Linked DNA regions of Oryzias latipes. The protein of the gene in region 1 purifies or fractionates together with the protein of each later gene. This does not show direct contact. Links are inferred from orthologs where the notes say so. Each region holds a gene or a part of one and is shown in the gene's direction. Other genes may lie near its edges.

The links.
Region 2: the proteins of endothelial PAS domain-containing protein 1 (region 1) and histone acetyltransferase p300 purify together in Homo sapiens (affinity purification with western blotting; 4 studies listed by BioGRID and IntAct, with this or other methods). This does not show direct contact. The link is inferred for Oryzias latipes from reciprocal best matches to the Homo sapiens genes EPAS1 and EP300.

What each region holds. Positions count from the first base shown.
Region 1 is NC_019873.2:14,300,830-14,304,329, forward strand, and holds part of endothelial PAS domain-containing protein 1, read left to right. Parts: coding exon 1-40; intron 41-2,789; coding exon 2,790-2,937; intron 2,938-3,049; coding exon 3,050-3,258; intron 3,259-3,372; coding exon 3,373-3,500.
Region 2 is NC_019866.2:19,344,869-19,347,921, reverse strand, and holds the end of histone acetyltransferase p300, read left to right. Parts: coding exon 1-1,308; 3' UTR 1,309-2,553; downstream 2,554-3,053. UniProt on the Homo sapiens protein: Functions as a histone acetyltransferase and regulates transcription via chromatin remodeling. Acetylates all four core histones in nucleosomes. Histone acetylation gives an epigenetic tag for transcriptional activation.

The sequences.
Region 1 (3,500 bases):
GCCCTGGACTCTGACAGCGTCACCAAGAGCCACCACAACTGTGAGTCCTGTGTGTGCTTACTGTCAGGATGAACACAAACATGAGCCCTTTCAATAATGCACTTTTTTTGATAAAAAAACGAGGCTCTTAGTTGAAACAAGTGTTTAATACTGACTCAAATTCAAATTAAATATATTAATAGACAATAAAGACATTACCCCAAAAATTGAATTATTAAAGATATGTATATTATTAATACTTGTTGAGTGAGGTGGGCTTTAGAAAGGTAATAATGTCATGGTGAAATTATAGCCTTAATGATAATCAAAATACTTTAATAGTATTGGAATCTCGATATTAAAGACCCACTCCCATAAAAAAATAGTGTTTCTGGCATTTTTAACATGTTTTGGTGGCCTTTTTCTGAAGATGGAGGACTTATATATAAAGAAATGTGATCTTAAATTTGCATTTGTTTATTCAAATTGTTATGAATCAGGAACAGAAAAAAGATTAGATCAATTTGCATTTTTGTTTTCCTTGTCTGAGCTGGAATCTGGCTCAAAACTTTCCAGCTGGATAGCTCCAATATTGCTCACTATTTTTGTTGCACTGGTGATGTTGGTTTAGGGGTGTGAGGGGATGTAAGCTAGCAGGAGAGTGTGTAAACGCAGAAACTGGGAGGGGAAGGGGGGTTGCTTAGTGCTAAGGTCCCCCCACACACAACTCAGAGGTGAATTTCTTATGAACTACTGCTGCTCTGCAGAAACTATGTCATAGAAAAACGACAGTCTTTGTGATTTTGGCTAATGACTGCACCAGCGTATTTAAAAGGCCACTGGGAACACTTTTACAATAGATCAAAGATAATCGGATTCAGTCTCTAAAGCCTGACCGTGTTCAAGTCTAATGTTGTTACAAAAAGTATAAAGATCTATATCATTTGGTTTTCATTACCTGTTTTTTAATACATATAATAGTGTAAAGTTAAATGCCAGTCACATGCATCGCCTGTTTTCATGCGTTTGTTTCCAGAGCAGGATCAGGGTATTAAGAAGTGTTTGATCAAATTAAGGGAAGCCACCGATGGTCTGATGAGGTTTGCACACATCTGGTGCCACAAACACAGTGGACACGGGGACCAGGTGGCCTCCATTACAATCTAATGACACTGTTTGTGAGTGTCTGTGTGCAGACGAGGCTGCGGGTGTCATGGCTATTCTCTGCTCTGACAGTACAGGATCATTAGAGGCTTTGAGCTGCACTGTTAGGAACTCCTTAAAGCCCCCCATGCACAAATAAAGTGTTTGTGTGTTTGTGCAGCAGAAAAAAGGAGCGACTCTGGAGTCAACATAGTTTCATCTGTTTATTCAATTTTAGGATCTGCTTTAGCAACCAAGACCCACCTATACAAGCTGTATTTAGAATGATTGCACTATTCAGACGTACATTCTAAAGATCCTGGGCTCCTAAACAGAACTTTTTTTTCAACCGTTGTCATGTTTCAAGGCTGCCTTGATTTGGTCTGAAACTGAAAAGCTTCATATTTATATTTTATTTTTTTATCTTTTTGGCTCCAAATCATCTGCGTCCAAAGACTTTAGATAAAGGACGCTCTATCTCCATCCCACACACACCCACGACCTGCTCTCACGGCCAACGTGACCAGCCTGCCAATCAGAACATGCTAAAGGATGTAGCTGCTGAGTGGAAAGCTGCCACAGCCTTTTCTCCAAAACTACTACGCAGTCACACACACGGGCGCACACACATTCTCAATGTCATTGGCCTAATGTACGATCTCTGACCAGTCCTGCTCTTTTCCCACGCCAGTTCTGAACTCTGGACTGGAGCCAGCGCATGTCCTCCTTGCAAAGTCAAACATCCAGCTTTTTCCTACTAACAAATGTTTGACTGATTGGAAATCCCTGATGGAAAACAATTTTTATTTGATCTCATTTGAAAAATGTTACATTTTATTAGTAGGAACATAACACTGTCCGAAATAGCAATAAGTTTAAACTTTGAGTGTAGATGATATTAGTGGAAGTGGTTATTAAAATATTTATACATTTTGTGGTAGAAACACCAAATTCAGCATGATTTTACATTTGGAACCCCTCTTTCAGAAAAGCACATTTGCCACAAGAAAACACAAGATTTCAAAGTGTATATATTATATACACATATAATAGTATTCTGTAGGTACCACTTTGAAGTTGAAATACTGCATTTTGTGCATTAACAGCCCATATTGCTGAGACTGAGCAATTAGACTGAGCAATTGAGTGAAATGACTCAATCCATTTACAACCTGGAAGAAAGTTCCAGCAAAACCAGGCAGAAAGAACATAAACCATGACTGGTTAAGGTCACAGAACAGAAGAAGACAGAGTAAAAGTACATCATCGTTAGCAGATCTTCCATATTTCTTCATGATTTATTCCCCTAAAACTGTTACAGATTTCGTTTGAAATGCATTACACCTACATGTCACAGGTTTTAAGCATTAGTTTTCTTCATTTGTTTGTTAGGACTCTTGGCAAAAACAGTCTTTAATGGATTTCATTTGCCAACAAAAAATAATACTTTATTTACTTTCTTTTTAAAATTCCAATAACTAGGCTTTTGATTTTTTAGCTAAATAAATCCAAACCCTTGTAGCCACTCCTTCCATCTCTTTTAAAGGTTATGAGATGGGACTAATTGTAAACTTAGCCAACACTATCTAACTGCAAACTTGAGTATCAGCAGGAAGCGCTTGGTGTCTCTTAATTTAACACATTGTCTGTTTTCATTGTGTCCACAGTGTGTAGCAAGGGTCAGGCAGTCAGCGGTCAGTATCGCATGCTGGCTAAGAAAGGCGGCTATGTGTGGGTGGAAACCCAGGGAACCGTCATTTATAACAGCCGAAACTCTCAGCCACAATGCATCGTCTGCATCAACTACGTCCTCAGGTGAGACCTGTCACTGCAGTGAGCTCAGGTCTTCCAAAGGTTTTAACCAAACTCTTCTACATGGTAAATATCACAAACTATGTTCTAATTTGCCTTTCTTGTCTCCCTGCAGTGACATTGAGGACAGGGCTGTGATATTCTCTTTGGAGCAGACAGAGTCTCTGTTCAAGCCGCAACACATGAACAGCTTCTTCAGCGCTGGAGGAGCAGGCATGAATGGGGAGCCAGGAGACTCCCTGTTCAGCACCCTAAAGGAGGAGCCAGAGGACCTTGCACAGCTGGCTCCAACACCTGGAGACACCATCATTTCTCTTGATTTTGGTAAGCCTTGTACTTTTTGAAAACTTATAGGGGCAACACTGTCCTGTGTTACATTCCTAAATATATTTTTTGAAGTTCTATTCAAAAGTTTTCCTTTCTTCTGACTCCTTGTAGGTCGATCTGAGTTTGAGGAGCCTCAACATCCATCATCATTCACACCGGCATCTGCTTCAGCCATGCCCCCGCTGGGACCTTTGTCCTGGGCAAGTGAGAGCCACAAACCTGGGTCCAATGCAGTTCCA
Region 2 (3,053 bases), on another chromosome or scaffold:
CAGGGAATGCACATGGGGGGTCAAGGAGGAACAAATGTCAACATGAGCCCCATGGCTCAGTTGCAGCAGGTCCAGCAGCAGCAGCAGCAGCAGCTTCAGCAGTTGCAGCAGCAGCAGTTGCAGCAGCAGCAGAGGCCAATGCTCAGTGGGTTACAGCAGCAGCAGGTTGCAGCTCTCCAGCAGCAGCAACAACAGCAGCAGCAGCAGCAAGGCGTGGGTCGAGGAATGCCGGGTCAGGGGCCCCAGATGGGAAACCTGAACGGAGCCCAGTTTAGAGAGTTGCTGATGAGAAAGCAGCTACAGCAGCAGCAACAACAACAACAACAGCTGCAGCAACAACAGCTGCAGCAGCAACAACAGCAGCAACAGCTGCAGCAGCAGCAGCAACAACAACAGCAGCAGCAGCACCAACAACAGCAGCAGCACATGGGAGTAAACCACAGTCAGTTCCAACAGCCACAGCCCCCCCAGGGGCAGGGCTTCATAGGGCAGCAGGGCATGCAGCCTCCAGCAGTGGGGCAGGGGCCTCCTGGGGGGCCACCCCTTCAGCAGCCCGGTGGACAGCCGGGTCAGCAGGCACCAAGTTACCCCGGATCAGTCGCTCAGCAGCAGGCCACGGTTGCACTGCAGCAGAGACTGCAGCACCAGCACCACCTCCAGATGCAGCAGCAACAGAACGCCATGGGGGGTGATGTAGGGCCAGGTGGAGGGAGTATCAGTGGTCCGCAGCAAGCACCCCAAGTCCCTCAACCCACCCAAATTGGACCCCCACCTTCAACCGCTCAAGCCCGGCTTCAACAGACTCTGCACCAAAGGATGTTCCATCAGCAGCAGCAGCAGCAGCAGCATCTCGGCCCGGGAGGGTCACCGGCCCAGCACACCAACCCCATGAGCCCCCAGCAGCCTCAACAGGTGAACCAGTCCCCCCACCCGCACCTGCAGGGACAGGGCATGTCCACATCTCTGGCCAACCAGGTCCGGTCCCCACAGCCCTCACCCAGACCTCAGTCCCAGCCGCCTCACTCCAGCCCGTCCCCACGCATGCAGCCACACCCCTCCCCGCTTCACATCTCCCCCCAGATGCAGACGGGCTCTCCTCATCCCAACCACCTGAACCAGCACCATCCAGGAATGATGGCACCTCAACAACCACAACCGCCAGCAGCCCAGCAGAACGCCATGGAGCCGTTCGGCTCGGATGAGATGCTGTCCCAGCTGAGCAGCATGGCTGGTCTGCACGGGCCAGGCGGCAGCGGTCAGGACCCAATGGGCCCCAACATCGGCCACAGCTCCTTAGACCACATGTAGGGTGGTCGTCAGCGTGTGGAGCGGAGCGGAGCGGCAGTGGAAATCCGCACAAACTGCACTCACCCAGGACAGTGTTATTGTTATTACTAAGCTTTTTTTAAACTATTATTAAATGTTATTTAAAATGTTTTCAATAAAGATGCATTGAACTGAACTTCCTATGGGAGATGAACATGAAATCAAGCAGTCGTTAAATGAATGAAAATGAATTGTAACTTATTGCTGTTAAATGTTTTCTTTGCCAATTAGGGATGGGGGGGGGGGGGTCTTTCACATATCATCCCACAAGTCACCCCGTGTACTGCAGAGGAAAGTTGATTCTATTTTTTTGAGGGGGGGTATGTGAAAAAAGTACTTGCCTTTTGAAAAACTGTTCTGTTTTTATAGGTTTTTAAAGTCCAAAATTATGATTTAATGCAAATATCTTTATATCAGTTGAGCTCCTTTTTTTATTTTATTCTTTGGGGCCTTTTTTTGTTTTTGTTTACGCTTCACCTCAAATCCAAACATGATGCTTTTTTTTTTCTTTCCTTTTTCTAATGTTTGGGTTTTATTTATTCTTTTCCTTCTGGGGGTGGGCGTCTAGGAGACTGCTACAGTTCCTACAGAAATATATTTTTGGTATTGACTGTTAAGATGGGGGGGGGGTTAGTATATGTTATTTCACTTTAGATGTCTTGAGTTGGGAGTGATGTCAGTGTTTGATTGCAGTGCGCTCTGCGCCGGAAGGGCGGCGGCGGACACATCTTTGGAAGCCCTCTCCAACATGCAAGCCCCCTCCCTCGAATGTGTGTGCACTCCTTCCTGTTAAAGACACTTCAAATGGAGCTGTAGAGCTTTGGGGAGGGGGGGTGCATACCTTTGTGCCTGTAACATTTTAAATACCTGGGGTGGGGCGGGCTTGTTCTAGTGTTTTTAGGATTCTGCTGTTTTCTGTAAACAGAGGATGATGATGATGATGATCCAAATGAACTGTGTTGCACAGAAACGAGGAGAAAGAAGGAGACCCCCCCCCACACACACAAATACACCCGACTCGGTCTCTTTCTCCCTCGTCCCCTTTGCTGCTTCCCTCAACTTTATATCCTCCTCTGGGGGGGACGTGGAGCTCCTTCTTTACAAACTCCATCCTCTTTATCTTTCTGCTCAGAACTTTGGGAGTTTAATTTAATATTTTTTACTGTACAAAGGAAACAAACTGGACTCGAATACTGTTTTTATAATAAAACAAAAATTACCAATTTGGTTGTGTCTTCTAAGGATATTTCTTCAAAAGATGCACTTCCTGCTTCTACCTTAGATTTAGAATGAAGTTTTTTGTTTACAAACAAAACAAAGGTAACAGCCTGCCATGCAGTAATGCAATGAGTTTCCAAACTCTTAGAAAACCAAAGTATGCGTTTGGTTTCTGTTCAGCAAAATGCAAAAAAACAAACAAACCTGACTTTCAGCACTGAAAATGCTGAAAGTTGCTTTTTTTCTCCAAAACATTTTTCTTTTATTCTGAATAATTACAAAGGAAAGAAGGAAGCTGGACACAAATATTAAAATGTCAAAATTGGAATAATGGATTTAAGGTGTTCAAACACCCCAAAGCCCGCTATCAGACCGCTCTGCTTTCCGTAAATCTTCAGCTTTAAATCGCTTGGAGTAATACTCCCTCTAGCGGCCGTAGATGTTATTGCGACCTGATATGTGTTCAACGGAGTTCGAGAAGGGTCAAAAAAGATTTCGTTTATTCTGAC